Drosophila melanogaster: one gene and its partners. The protein of the gene in region 1 interacts with the protein of each later gene in a pairwise test. Each region holds a gene or a part of one and is shown in the gene's direction. Other genes may lie near its edges.

Evidence for each region.
Region 2: the proteins of CG5327 (region 1) and CG1674 interact in a two-hybrid assay, tested with the Drosophila melanogaster proteins (one large-scale study listed by BioGRID).
Region 3: the proteins of CG5327 (region 1) and CG7966 interact in a two-hybrid assay, tested with the Drosophila melanogaster proteins (one large-scale study listed by BioGRID).

The regions. Positions count from the first base shown.
Region 1 is NT_033778.4:18,613,582-18,619,386, forward strand, and holds CG5327 (uncharacterized protein), read left to right. Parts: upstream 1-2,406; 5' UTR 2,407-2,469; coding exon 2,470-2,556; intron 2,557-2,615; coding exon 2,616-2,780; intron 2,781-2,859; coding exon 2,860-3,057; 3' UTR 3,058-3,362; coding exon of another isoform or gene 3,363-3,541; 3' UTR 3,542-3,573; intron 3,574-3,618; coding exon of another isoform or gene 3,619-4,156; 3' UTR 4,157-4,736; downstream 4,737-5,805. Other genes in the region: CG10927 (uncharacterized protein), read left to right, coding at 1-628; mRpS28 (mitochondrial ribosomal protein S28), read right to left, coding at 660-843, 901-1,022, 1,084-1,362; CG5323 (uncharacterized protein), read left to right, coding at 1,580-1,666, 1,727-1,891, 1,989-2,177; CG5493 (uncharacterized protein), read right to left, coding at 3,363-3,541, 3,619-4,156.
Region 2 is NC_004353.4:229,559-234,677, forward strand, and holds the start of CG1674 (uncharacterized protein), read left to right. Parts: upstream 1-1,867; 5' UTR 1,868-2,042; exon of another isoform or gene 2,043-2,069; intron 2,070-2,291; exon of another isoform or gene 2,292-2,376; 5' UTR 2,377-2,395; coding exon 2,396-2,419; intron 2,420-2,720; coding exon of another isoform or gene 2,721-3,290; intron 3,291-4,706; coding exon 4,707-4,787; intron 4,788-5,119. Other genes in the region: yellow-h, read left to right, coding at 1-13, 353-841.
Region 3 is NT_033777.3:13,048,646-13,053,285, reverse strand, and holds CG7966 (uncharacterized protein), read left to right. Parts: upstream 1-1,832; 5' UTR 1,833-1,879; coding exon 1,880-1,892; intron 1,893-2,002; coding exon 2,003-2,166; intron 2,167-2,361; coding exon 2,362-2,831; intron 2,832-2,894; coding exon 2,895-3,387; intron 3,388-3,449; coding exon 3,450-3,575; intron 3,576-3,644; coding exon 3,645-3,839; 3' UTR 3,840-3,888; downstream 3,889-4,640. Other genes in the region: pic (piccolo), read right to left, coding at 1-49, 252-663, 817-877; CG31157 (uncharacterized protein), read right to left, coding at 4,112-4,205, 4,256-4,581.

The DNA.
Region 1 (5,805 bases):
CAACTTTAGCTCCGCACAACGCACATTTCACAAAAGGATCGGGCAATTGCTTGTGAGGCTCTCGCGGGATGTCAATGCCAATCGTCCGGTGGGCATCTGCGTGGATCCGCGACAACCCAGCATTGTGTCCATTGCTGGAACTGGTGAAGTTTGTAGGCCGCACGAGCACTGCTGCATGATGCTCGTCGATTTTGTGGCTCGCAGTCAAGAAGGAGGCGCCACAAAAACGGAGGTTACATTCACCGAAGATTTCAAGAAGGATACCACTCTGCGGGGTATTCCTAAAGCCTACTACGATTACCTGATGAACAATGAAGACTACAAAGACCTGACATTCGGAGCGGAAAAGTCGAGAGAATGCAAAGAAGTGGACGCAGTTCAAGGAGCAGATAACCTGGCCAAATTCGGACCCTATCTGTGCACCGGCTACGATATCTATCTGCTGCAGGAACCCTGCCTTATGTGCTCCATGGCCCTGGTACATAGCAGGGCGAAAAGAGTATTTTTCGTTAAGAACTCTGAAAACGGAGCTCTAGCCACGAGATTCCAACTGCATTCGGTGCGGGAACTCAACCATCACTACGAAGTGTTCCAGTTCACAACCAAGGAGGATGAAGACTTGACGTAACGTTTAACAAACCTTGGTTTTAATAAAGGATTTATAGGATATCTTCGATTTTCGGCGTTGTTTTGGCCGTCGACTGGCGGGTGGGCGTGGACAGGAGACCCAGCAAATGGCAATCTGCCTCTAGAATGGTAATATCCTTGGACGAACCCAGAAACTTGGTGGACAACTCCAAGTCCTTGATGCGCAGTCGAACACGGGCTCCTCGCACATAGTCGCTGAAGTAGGAAAGGCGGTTTATTGGATAAAGAGACAGGAAATTATATTGAACTCACCTGGCATTGCGTGTTGGACGACTGCAGACGCAGTGAAACTTCCAACCAAAGTCTATGTAGAGATCATCGCCCACCACATGAAAGATCTTGCCACTGACCACCTTGCCCTCGGCGTTGTCCAGCTGCTCCAGAAATCAACAAGTTATTACATAAACAATGGGATTACTTAAATAATGTACCCACATCAATTAATTTGGAGTTGCGCAGCAGGGAGGCGAAGGTCTGGTTGTCTTCCGGCAGCTGTGGAGGCGTGGCTGGTGCCGTGTACTTGTCGAAGGCACGGGCGAATCCTCCCTTGCTGCTGCCAATCTCCGCCGTTTCCGTATTCACTGCGGGAGTAGATTCCTCCGCCGGTTTTTCTGTGTTACCGCTGATAAGTCGAATGACCATTGGCATTCGGGAACGACAGGTTAATGAAGCCATCGGTACACCAGATCTGCTTAGTTTTTGCAAGAGCGACATGGTTTTAATTTAATATTGCTCAAAAATATCCACAAGAAAACCAAAACCAAGTGGAAAACCAAAGAAGAAGAGCGGCACCGATAGACTGCTAATCGATTATTAGCAGCTGCGTCGGCTCATCACTAATCGAATATTACAAAAAACACGCTGCCGGCATTTATTTTGATATTACGAAATCGGTTGTAAGACGTAGGTAATTAACAATTAAACAAGCAAAATGATCCAGCAACAGCGCCAGAAAATCGAGGCCGCGGTAACGGAGATGATCGACGACATGGACAAGACGCACCTGCGCAAAATGCAGGTAAGTGGAGTTCGCTTTAGGGGATATCCCGAAACTGACTTGCTTTTCACGAAATTCCAGAATGAGATGCACTTGTGTGCGGCCAAGTGCTGCCAGGATGGAACCTCCAGCGTGGACAGTGTCCAGAGATGTGTGGATCGATGCTCCGCGCCCATGACGAGGGCACAGAACTACGTTCAACACGAATTGGGCGAGTTCCAGGGCAGACTTCAACGTTGCGTCATGGTTAGTATCCATTGCACCAACTTTTTGCCCTGGTGGCTCTAAGAATAATAGAATATTATTAGGCAACGCTCATATTTCACATTCTCCTCTTCCGCAGCAATGCAACGACGATGTGAAGGTGAAAATGCCGCCCAGTCCCAATGAGGATCAGATAGCCAAGTACACCGACCAATTCGAGCGCTGTGCCATCCAGTGTGTGGACAAGCATGTGGGCCTCATTCCCGGCATGATGAAGACCATGAAGGCTGTGCTCTCCAAGGGACCCGAGAGCATTCCCCAAGTCTAACTCAACCTGCATTTACTACATAATTAGTTGTTGAATTCGTTTATTTTAAAACCGTGCAATGAGTCCCATCTCTGGAGTCATTTCAAATTTTGCTTTTAAGAATATAGAACAAAAATTACCTTATTAATTGTTGAAAGTCTTAAGCAGCAACCAACAACTGTTGTGCTAACAATCTTCGGAAGAATGTCAAGTTTTGCCATCAGTAAAAAAAATAAACATACTTTGTACACCGAAAACTGTCAATTCAACATTTTGTTTTGTTCTTTCGAAATTGTTCAAATTTTAAATTGAAATGGTGGAGCAACAAAAAAAGCGCTTGGAGGGCGCCATTAGCGAAATGATCGAGGACATGTACCGCACCCACTTGCGCAGAATGCAGGTGAGTGTGTGGCCTCCACTTGCCTACTATGAATTTCTGGTAAGAACGTTGTTTCCAAGTCCACGATGCACCGCTGTGCCGCCCGCTGCTGCGACGATGATCGAGGGACGCTGGAGAGCGTACAGAACTGCATCGAGAAGTGCGCCGGTCCCCTGATGGATGCCCAGGATTTCCTGCAGCACGAGCTGGGCCAATTCCAGAATAGACTTCAAAACTGCGTTAGGGTAGGAGCTTAAACTATAATTATAAATGCTTAATATTGGATTGATATATCCTATTTTTAATACGATTGCCAACCCGCAGGATTGCAACAGCGATGCGCGGTCTCAGATGCCCAGCAATCCGAGTGACCGGGACATGTCCCGATCCCAGCACATGTTTGAGAGTTGCACGAACAACTGTGTGGACAAGTACATAAACCTGATACCTGGTCTGCTCAAGTCGATCAAGCAAACACTGGACAGGGGTCCGCCGAAAAGATCACGCAACATGGATGTCTAACCGGGATGCAATTCAGGATCTGGTGACATTTAAAAAAGCACATTCAAGCAGTTGTCAATGGTTCACTTATTTATTGAATATTTTTGGTACAGCTAACACTTAAAGTACACTAATCGCTGCTGTGATCCGGGATAGCCAATGGATTGGAATGGGAACTTATCAGCGCCAACGTGGCCCTTGCTCGCCATGTTTGATAGCTCAGCTCCCGGATCTTCTTAGGCCCTAGCTCATTAAATATCTAGTAATAAAGATTCTTAGTATTATGCAACAATACGAGAGGCTATATTTTTAGGATCTTGATGGATCTACTGCTCGTTCTGCTTCGTCCTCACGCCGTATTTGCTCCAGAAGGTGACCTTGGCGGTGGTCTTCTTCAGGTTGTCCTGGAACACGGAGCACGTGTCGAAGGGTGGACAGTATAGGTGAAGGGAGACAGAGGTATCCGAATGGCTGGGGTTCTCCACGCGATGCAGACCCAGATTGTCTATGGATAACAAAACGAAAAAAAAAAAAACAGTAAGTATAGGAATACCCCACTTTTAAAGTTTCTAATTTTCTCACCATTTATGTAGGCCACATCATTGACGGCGATTGGTGTCTCCCCAATCTCCACCAGCTCTCGGCTATCGATCTCGCCATCGGGATGATGGGACCGGCCGTTGTCCCTGGCAGATCTATTGGGATACTCGTAGCGCTTCTCGCGCAGATCACCCTTCAGCATCTTCATGAAGCAATGGGAATCGGCATGGTCGTGCACCGAGGAGCCGTGTCCTTCGCCCCAGCACAGAATCAGCAGATTGAACTTTCCATTGCCAGCATCCACGAGATTCCGCGTGTAGGTGTAACGATCGAACTTGGCATATTTGCGCCACTCCCGCGGATTGGACTTGTAGCTGAGCATAAGGTGATTCACCATCTCGATGTTAACATAGTTCGACTCGAATTCCCGGTGAAGGGCGGCCACCAAGTCCGATAGGGAATTCACCTCCGGTCCGTATTTCAGGGGTTTCTCCAGCGGCTGATAGTAGCTAGTGGCCTGACGCAGGTACTTCTCCTGGTCAACCTGCTCGATCTCGGTGTCGATCTTGGACAGGGCCATTTTGGGCTTGCTCTGATTGACCTAGGTTGCGAAAAGGGAAGCGGAAGTTAGAGTGGTGGTGCATCAGTTGAGGCTGAAGGGCGTGGAAAACTACCTATAAAGTCTATAAAGATCACTGCTCAATTGATTTAGATGAATTACGTTGTAAAGTCGATGATCGCTGATAATAGCTATTGGTATATATATATATGAATATTCCGATTCGTTGCTGTTACAATTGATTGAATTGCTTCGACTAACCGCACACGCTCCACCTCGGATCGCAAAATTCGAACTGAATTCTGGAGATTTCGCTCTCCTGTCCAGGCTGCATAATCAGCTCGGATCCGACGTAAATCGGAGGCGCAAGTCCAAAACAATAACAAAAACAAGAAGTCGCCGGCGATAACCGTCCATCCAACTTATCAATAGCAGATTTTACCAATACCCTCGGCTATATAATACACGTATTTCTCAGTAGATGATGATAGATCGAATGTTGCCAGGAGGGGCTCAACAGATGTGCCTGAATTTGAGACAAGAGGTTAACGGCGATCTAATGGGATCGTTTGGCAAATAAAAAACAAATTTATTCCACAATATACTCTGGAGCCGACAATAAAAAATATTTGGGCGATACGGGCATTGTCACTGATACGTTAATATACCAATTGATAACTGATAGCTGGTTGAATCTGGATGCTGACGAATTTGCTTTCAAGATCTGCGGGTCTTACCAGCCGGGATTTTCCCGCAAATTCATTTGAAAAAAAGAACCGCGACTTTCTCTAGTTTTGGATTATAGTTAACCGAAACACTTTGAGATACTTTTTGTTTCGAGAAAGTATTGCCTACTTTCAGGTTCGTTACAGATTTCTCTCAATTGCCTGCCATTTGTCAGCAGATCAGTCGTGTCTTTGTTACTCAGGAAGTTAATTAGTGACTAACACACTGACCTTACTTTCTCCATTAAAATGTTAAACAAAGAAAATGATTCTGTCATTGTTTCTCCTAACACGATATGAATTGAACTCATAAATTTAATTATATAACTTCAGGTGAAAACTCGAAATAAATAAAACACTTGAGCTTGCATTAAAGGTAATAACTTTTTTACGATCCCCATGCAATGTTGTTAAATCTTTTCCCCTTGGTGCCACATCAAGGTATTTGAAAAATGTTTTGCAATGGCCAAAAAGCATAAACTGCCAAGCTGGCAGCCAACTTTCGCAACAGGTTAAGGCCAATAGCAAAGTCAAAGCAAAAACTAAAAGCTGCGAACTGCCATTTGCGTAAATATTATGCGAACAAATAGCTTGGAAAATTGGTGAAAAGCAGTTGCCAATTTTCGAAACAGTTCAACAAACTACGATTTAAGTTTGATTTTCTGATTTTCGTACAATTTCAGCAGGGAAAGGGATTTGAAGGATAAAGGACTTACCATTTTGTTTGACTTCTTGGAATTTCTCTCTTAGCTATGGCAACTGAATAATTTTTTATGAACTTGAAATTCACTTTTTAAAAACACTTTTAATTTCAGGACTTGGTATTGCACTTTTTCGACTTTTCACTGGGTAGTTGCCACTTGGATGCGCGTCGCCGAGCTTATGTGCCCGTTTTGGGTATCTTTCACCAATTTATGAAGATCTTGGCCAGCAAACCCCGGTTAA
Region 2 (5,119 bases), on another chromosome or scaffold:
GGCAAGTTTCAAGGTGAGTATAAGGAGTATATAAATAAAGACAAGAAAATGGCTGGGAATTGATTTGATATTGATTTTAAAAAATGCCTTTCTTAACATTGTCTTTATTGTCTAAATAATGGCTCGCCGACTTACTTTTAAAAACCCCTCCTACAGCTTACTACTTGATCAGTCTTACTTAAGGTACTTAAATAAATCTAAATCTTAAGTAAGCTAATTATCTGCAGCTTGTAGGGTCCGAAAAGGCTTATTTCTGTTTTATTTTTATTAACCAAACTAGCAATCCCTTATACTCTACGAGTAACTGATATAATAATAATAATAATTGTGATTATAATACTTTCTCATTTAGGAGTTCATGGTGCCTATGAATATCTTGTTAAACGAATCTGTGTGGCAAACGAATACTCAAGAGTACGCCAAGTACTTCATACCAATTGGAGACCGCGGATATAATTCTCAATCATCTACATCAGGAGTTACAAGGAATGGCATTATGTTTTTTACACAAGTTCATCAAGATGATATTGGATGCTGGGATACATCGAAACCATACACTCGAGCACATTTGGGAAAATTTCATAATATGGAAAACTCAAATCTTATTCAATTTCCAAATGATTTAAAAGTAGACAAAGAAAAAGATCAAAATGTATGGCTTATAAGTAACCGACTACCAATTTTTCTATACAGCAATCTAGATTATGGAGAAGTAAATTTTCGAATTTTAAAGGCGAATGTAAATAAGATTATTCGCAATAGTGTTTGCAATCCGGATAATAGTTATATTAATACATCAAAGTCAGCTTTTGTGTTGATAGAAGAAGGACAGTGTTTTTGAAAACTATGGTAAATAAACAATTACACAACAAAATGTTGTAAATTTTTGAACAACCTTGGTATTTGCGTCCGTTACAAATGATACTCTAGTACCTTTTTTGAAGGTTTGGGTCTAACAGATTTTTGCGCTTTGTTGTGTCCAAGCAATTAACTAAATTGACTAAAAGAATAACAGTTTTTAAACGTGTACGAGTTCCAAATTGGCATAAGATCGGACTTTTAAGAACATACGTATCTAAAATTAGCTTTCTAGCTTTTAAAATTTTAAAGATCACGAAATTAAAATGGACGTACATTGCTAGATCAACTTGGCTTGCGATTCTGCTCGAATATTCGAAGTATATTCTTTATGGGTCAGCAGTTCTTCCCTCCGCCATTCTAGTTTTCAACGAATGAATATTAGGGTTCAAATTCAAACGTGTATACAATTGTTTGTAATATATTTATATTTTTTAGTCGTACTGTGAAAGGTTATATCCAATTGTAAGAAGTAACAGGTAGGGAGCGTGTTCTTTCTTCTATTGTATCTTCAAGTTCGTGTTATCGTCATTAGTTTCCTCTGAAAGTGGTTTGATTTTGGGTGTACTTAATATAACATCTCTAAAAGAGAATATTACTATCTATAAAGAAATATCGAACATCAATGGATATATGTATATTCATGTTACAGTATTTTCTCGAGATATTACTTTGAATATAATCAAATTTGGGCGATGTTAACTTAAAGATGGTTCGCACTTTACTCATTCGTAAATTTAAGTTTTAAAAACAAGGTATGTATGTAAGTGCATATAAGACACTGCGACTTATAACTATAAAAATAGTAAATAAAGTACTCCGTTCCAATAAAAGGGGCTCTCATCGATGCGCTTGTTTGCCGAACAAAGATGCTGTATACATACGTATAAATTTACGAGAAAATATTTTTGTATTTGTGAAAATAAATGTATTTGTGTGTGACTTTTAAATACACATTTCCCAAATTGCTGTATGCGAACGAGCCGATAATCAAGTAAATAAGCATGTGGACAGTGTGGAAGCTATCTTTGATGTGCAATCATATTCTTAAAGGCAGGCGCATGAATTCATGTTCATTCTATTGGCCTATACGGATTTTAGTTGTATTATTATCTTTCAATAATTCGATACTACAGTATTGTTTGCAGTAAATATTTTTTTAAACAAATAACATTGGGAAATAGGCAAGTGAAAAGATATATTTGATATATGTACGTGTAAATTATTATTATGGATATTAAAAAAAAGAAAAGTTAGTGTGGTCGAAGAGAAATTAACATTCATGTTGTATATGCTTCTCACTATGTATTACATAATAACAGCACCAACGAACATTATTTGAGTGTCTCTATATGTATTTACATTCAGCATAAAATGCGATATTTTATAACTGAGTGTGTTGCATGTGCTTTATTATAAATTACACCCTTATGTAATAATAATAATGCAGGACCTGCCTACCTGTTGAGACGATACAAATATAAATTCCTTTCTCTACATTTTATTATTATTTTATAGATTTGTACAGCTTTTAGATATGGATTCTACTTTAAATATTGAGGTAAGTCAAAAAACAATATTTAATTAATTAATATAAATATAATATTCACCTATAAAAAATTCAAAGTGCTTAGATTTTTTACAAGATTTTTTACATCTTTTACATTGTTATACATTTACTTTTGACAATTTTCTCAGAGAGAAAATGGTAATACATTTATTTAAATAAATTATTGTAATTATTAACTAAATATACCGTTTACGTTTTTTGCCATCATTTTTAATGTAAATAATAGTAATATTACCATTTAATAAATAGATAGAAATAAACTTTACAAACTCATATTTTCTACAATCTAAAGGAGAAAGAAATTGCTACAAAAAATGAAACCCAAATAGATTACGCTGATGAGATTAAAACTACTCCCCAAGATAATGATAATCTCAATGAAAAACTCTTGGTATCTTATATTGACAGTGGTTTTGATAAACCCGTCACTTCAAGAGATAATAAAGATGATGACGATCTAAAAATTGAAGAAAGCGAATCTGAAGACTGTAATTCAGAGAAAAAAAATACAACAGATTTGGAAGTAAACCCAGCTGCACTAATTGACAAGCCGTCTTTAGATATTAGCTCATCGGATATGGAGAGAACTGTTGAGATAGAAGACTCCGAATCCAATAACCCTATTATTATAGATGCATCTATTAAAACGGACCCATTAATATCTGTGGAAAATTTGTCCACCGTTTCTGAGAATAATTTCGAGTTGGACTTAATAGATGGGAGTACTAATGGTGAAAATTCATCGAATGCGGAAAACGAATCACCTGTTCAAGACACGTCGAACATTCTAATTAAAGGCGAAGATGATAAAGCTATCGAAAATTGCAAATCACAGGATACCACTAAATCTTCGTCGGAAAAAGTATTTGTATTTTTAAGAATAACAGACCTAAATTATCGCCTTCAAGCTTCAAAAATGTTTTTTATTTAACATAATATTTATAAAGAAAAAGTAAAGCAAATGTTGCCCTAACTTACCATATACCCTGCAAAGGCTACATTTATTTTTTACTTCATAAAGTCTAAATGTGTATTTGTAACTTAGTAACTTAGTCCAGGTACTTGGATCTAAGTCAATAATATTTAAAACATGATTTAGGTAAAAAAAAAATATTGTTGAAACGTTTTTATATTTTTAAAGAAATTCTAACAAGTTTAAGGAATTAATGTCCTGATTACTCGTAATCTTCAAAATCAGATAAAAGGCGGAATGGATTAGGATCTCTTTTAGAATTGTTGTCGCCATTTCCGCCTGTTTGTCCATTTAAACTTCAAGATATATATGAATATGAATATGCACTTTCAGCATTCTGATACCAGTGACATTTCTGCAAGTTGGTTTTAAAAGATTGGCCCTCATACTCCAACGTTCATCAACCGCGGAAACTGTCATCCCCACACTTTTGCATATTCTAAACCGGTTACTCGTGAAGTAAAAGGGTATACTAGATCTTTGATCAATATGTAACAGTCAGAAGGAAGCGTTTCCAACCATATAAAGTATATATATTCTTGATCTGGATCGATAGCCGAGTCGATCTGGAAGTGTCCACCTGTATGAAAGTTGACATCTCAGGAACTAAAAAAGCTAGAAGGTTGAGATTAAGCATACAATTTTTGTCTGTATACCAAAAACACTGTTGTCCGCCCATTTTTTCACCTACAAAACTATCAAAACGGACGCGCCCACATTTTTAAACAATGTTAAATTTTTTTTCTCATTTTATTCCCCAATATCTATTGATATCCAATAATAATTATAAAATTTCGGCTTCGCATTCACACTAGTTGAGTAACGGGTATCTGATAGTCGGCGAACTCGACTATAGCATTCTCTCTTGTTTTAAAGTGCGTTTTAAAAAATAATGTTGGAAATAGTCAAGCTTTATAACTATGTGCTTTTCGGAACCGGATACGGATAGGGGAACTACTCAGATATATACGAAAAACTCTGACTCTGCATGGGTATTAATCTAGGTATAACGCTTATATTTGAGCACAAGCAAATAATTATTTAAGCTTCTGCAGTTCTGCAGAGTAAATTTTGTCAAACATAAGGCAAAAGCCTACGACTCTTTGAACTGTGTTGTTTAATTGCATATGTTTAATATTATAATTGATTTATTAATTATTGTATGATTTGGTTTAAAATTTTGGAACATTCATTCAGCTGCACTTCATTATTTTAATACGCAGCTTACAAAAGTTTACTTACAGCTTCGTGCAAATCATACATTATCAATTTCGATTAGATCTTTAAAGTGTACTTTATTTTTAGAATGTCAATGACCCAACATCCATTGCATCTGATTTATCGGCCGAAAACACTAAAGCAGACCTTGTTTCGCTAAATGAACCGGTAAGTAAGACTATACACAGTTTTATAGCTCATTTCAATACAAATTCATGTGTAATTATTAAAAAATATAAACACGTCTTCATATTAACTTTTGTGACGTTACATTTTTAAAATATATATAACATTTTTGGCGGTTTTCGGGCATTTGGGTGGGCATAATTGTTACCGATAGAAATCGGAAAGACATATGATAAAATTAAAAAAAAAACTGTGGGTCTGGCAACACCAGAAAAGAAACTTGTGGGCGTGACTGTTTTGGGCGGCTTGTGGGCGTTAGAGTGGGCGTGCAACAAAAAGAAACAAACTCGTGCTGCGTCTGTCAATGAAATCTG
Region 3 (4,640 bases), on another chromosome or scaffold:
CAAGCAGCCGTGCAGAAACTCAACATCGTACACGTTTAGCTCATCCATTCTGAAGGGTGAAGGGATACATTATTTTGGAGCTTAATACAGCTTCAATCATAAAACATTTACTAGTTACTTACTAGTAACTAGTAGTGAATGAAAAAATGAAAATGATTCATTAAAAATACAAAACAGGGTAAAACATGATAAGGCGCCGATGTCATGCTCACACGTATTTGTCAAACTACTATAGAATTCACCGGAATTACCTAAGATTTGTGGCTTTCAGCTCGCTAGCATCCTTGTCCATCGGAATGATGGTGAACAGCCCCTGGTAAAGGCACATTCCGATGACCCTAGCCTTGGGATCGATGGCCGCAATAACTCCTCCTTCGGAGGGGATGCCCACCGAGTCGGAAACATTACCATTGGCCTTGGTCACCACCGTGATGACGTCGTTGACCATACGGGCCTCGAGGATCATGACGTTGTAACGACGCGTCAGTATGAAGAGCAAATCCTTGTTGCTGTCGGGCGGTCGGAAGTGGCGCATCACGGCAATGGTGCCATTTATGTTGATCTCTTTTAGGGGGCGCAGTCCCTCCGGCGTGACCAGATCGATTTCCACCTGATTGTTCCGGGCAATGATCAAATTGAGATCCGTGGGCGAGGTGAAGTTGCCTGAGGAGCATACCAAAGAAGCCGGTGCTAAGCAAACAAATCTGTTTCATGGGCTTGTGTAATCCGGCGACCGGCAAACATGCTTGTTTTCTGTTTTCGCCGGGGGAGACCGCATAGGGAGCCCCTCTCTTTCACACGCTCTCTTGTTCTTACCTGTTAGGCAGGCAACAACGGCCGTCGGCTTTTGCGCCGTCACCACGTAGTGATGCGACATGACTGCACACTGTCCAGGATCAGGTTATCCTTAATTCGATAGAGCTCTTCAACTTTGGACTAGTCAGCCGCCACGAGGATAAAAATCGTTTTCGCTGACTTTTAACGCGCTAAAATGTTTCCTGACACGTAGTGTGACCGTTCAACTGTTAAGAACTAATACTGTCCGGCTCAGGAAAATATACTTTTTATTTTGGAAGGTATTCCATTTATGTTCAATATAAATTATGTTGCAGAGAGCGCGTGGATTTTATAAGCTTGTTTTGATTCTTGTACAAGCAAATGACACATTTAAGATTTCCATAAAAGTCTAGAAGATCATTTACAGTCATCGCATAAGCCAGAAAAAAACGAATATCGATATGTGTTGTGTTGCCCCAACTCTCTCTTTTGGCAAGAAAAATCGATTTCGTTTCTTTGCAGCTCTGGGACGCCTTCAAATTGCGGTTAAACTGAAACTGTTTGAAAATAGCTTTTGTAATAAGTGCCTTTAATACCACTATTACCCACACTTTACTTAAATTTCTAAAGCAATCATTGTTATTACATGACAGATTGTTCAGATATTCCCCTACAAGTTATTTACTTGTTTACTTATTTTCTTGTATTGAATACGTATAATTAAATATAATATACTAATTAAAAATAAATAACGAAGACAAGAGAAAATGTCTAAAATAGAAATGAGCTTAATTTAAGTAAATAAATTATATAGCCTTATCTCTAGGGGCGTTGTTTGTTTTGGTTTTTTATTATTATACATATGTTCCTCATGTTCAATAAGTCCACGAAAACGAGCTAAACCTAATCTATACACATTACTGACCTGACCTTACCTGTATTAGTGATAAGAAAGCCGGCCGAACCGGTTCTCTTTAGTAAATGCTTTAAGAGAGTATAAAGATAAGTATCTCCGAGAGAGCCCCAATATATAAAGCTCCCGCTCAACATCGTTTGATATTCAGTTTGCCGCTGTTCTTCGACCCACAACAACCGCCAAGCAATGTCCAATAAAAGTAAGAAAAACAAGAGACGTATATGTACACATTGTACTGCAAACACATGCCCTGAATCTTTGATAAAGACAATCCCGAGCAATTTTGATAATTGAATTGTTATTCCCAAGCCTGTTGCCGAGGACCGGGTTACGCAACCCCCCTGGACGCCATGAGGAGTGGTCCCCGGGAGAAGCTCCTCTACACGGTCACCGTTCAGCCCAACTTGGATGAGCCGCACGGCGATTATCTGTCCACAGTCGACGTGGATCCCGAGAGCCCCACCTACTGTCAGGTAAATAAATCAGGTATCTACACTATTCGATCATTTATCTTGCGGGACAAACAATACTATGTACTTAATAATTAGCTCAATTGGATTTTATATCAATGGATTTATAGCAATCACTTTCGAATATATGTATATTTCCAATTCGGATATTTGTATTACAGATTCCATATTTACATCATTATTAACATCATTTTGCAGATAGTGCACCGTACGTTTACAAATCGCAAGGGTGATGAACTGCATCATTCTGGCTGGAACGCCTGCTCCAGTTGTTACTATGTCGACGAGAGCTCTAAGACGGTGCCAAAAAGAGATAGGCTGGTATTACCGTCCCTAAATTCCGACTTTATATACATACTCGATGTGGTTACGGATCCGCGAAAGCCCGAGATTGTCAAGACCATTGATGGTGATGTCTTGAAGAGCCACAATGTGACGGCTCCGCATACCACACACTGTTTGGCCAATGGGAACATCATGATATCCGTGATGGGCGATGCAGAGGGATATGCCAAGGGTGACTTTATCCTCTTCGATTCGGACTTCAATTGCATCGGTACTTGGACCAAGGGCGATAAGAAGGCATTGTGCGGATACGATTTCTGGTATCAGCCATATTTCGATGTCATGGTTTCTTCGGAATGGGGAGCTCCCAATAAATGGCGACGGTTAGTCTCGATATAACCACTAAATACATAGTTTATCATAATATTTGTCAACCTTTTTTTCAGAGGCTGGAAGAATGTTGACCTGGAGGATATGTCTCAGTACGGCTGTCGTCTCAACTTCTACAAATGGTCCACGCAGACTCTCTACCAGACCATCGACCTGGGATCGGATGGCATAACGCCCCTGGAGATTCGATTTCTGCACAATCCTAAGAAGGCAGAGGGATTCGTGGGATGTGCCCTCAATGCCAAGGTGTTCCACTTTAAGAAGAAATCAGATTCCGATGAATTTGAAGCCAAGAAGGTAATAGACATACCCGGCAAACTGGTCGATACCGGCAGTGGAGTAGCTGAAGATATGGGTGGCATGATTTCGGACATTATCATCTCTTTGGACGACCGATTTCTATATGTCAACTGTTGGCGACATGGCGATGTGAGACAATATGATATCACCGATCCCGAGAATCCGAAGCTGACTGGTCAGCTTTTCCTTGGCGGTGCGATATGCAGTGATTTGCCAAATGTGATTGTTAAGGAGGATAAAGAACTGAAGGTACACAGATGCGATATTGCTATATAACTCGTACTATAACCAGGCCTTTTCTTCATTTTCAGGAGAGACCTCCAGCTCGTTACGTGAAGGGACGTCGCTTGGAAGGAGGTCCCCAAATGCTGCAGCTATCCCTCGATGGCAAGCGCTTGTATGTCTCCTCATCTCTGTATTCGCCATGGGATAAGCAGGTAAGATCTTAACCAGGATCACTCTATATATATATTTTTTTAAATATAATTAACTCCCAATCTCTTTAGTTCTATCCAAAAATGGTTTCGCAGGGCGGTCATATTGTCCTGATTGATGTGGACACTGTGAATGGAGGAATTTCCCTCAATGAGGACTTTTTGGTGGACTTCGCCAATGAACCCTATGGTCCTAGTTTGCCCCACGAAATGCGTTATCCTGGCGGTGATTGCACATCGGACATTTGGCTGGCTAATGATGCGTAATCTTGATTCCAATTTTGTAAAGATTTAATAAACTCATTCTTTTAAAGGTATACATTATTATTTTGGAGACATCTCCATTCTCTACTCCATCACTAGTCACGGATATCGCCATTAGCTGATAAGTTTGCCATATTCAAAACACGTTTCTGATTGGCTAAAAATAATTTATGCGCATTGTTTAAAACGTTATATGGTTGGCAAATGATTTCATGATTAACGGTCACATATAATTTCATTCTGAAAATGTTTATGATTTTTATATATCAATATAATTAAAACAAAAAGGAAGTTTTAGGTGTCCTATCCACAGCTTGTAGTATCGCATTGACACTGGGAAGACCTATCAGATTCAACAATCGTTGGCCACTGCAATTAAATAATTAATAATTATATATATTAACATAAGGCTTACTAACTTGTTATCACACGTGCAGTCTATGAAACTCCGGGCCATCTCATTGAGATGCCTTTGGTGGTAGAAGAAAATGTGCACCAGGTATGCCAGACTACAGGGTATCAGCAGTCTAGCCCAGGGAATCTTTCGCACTGCAGATAGAACCGAATCCTTTTCATCTTTAGTATTGCACACCTGGCTCCAAATCACCTGGATGGCAGTTACAATTGCAAAACACATGAATGTGAGACGATTTGATAGAAGAGCAAACGACGAACCGCTTATAAAGGAAGCCAGAGCATTGGCTTGATTTACATTCAATCTTTTCAATAAAAGTAATTGAACCACCTAAAAAATATTGTATATTTAGCTAGAAAGTTACACTTTGTACTTTTGCAACAACTAAC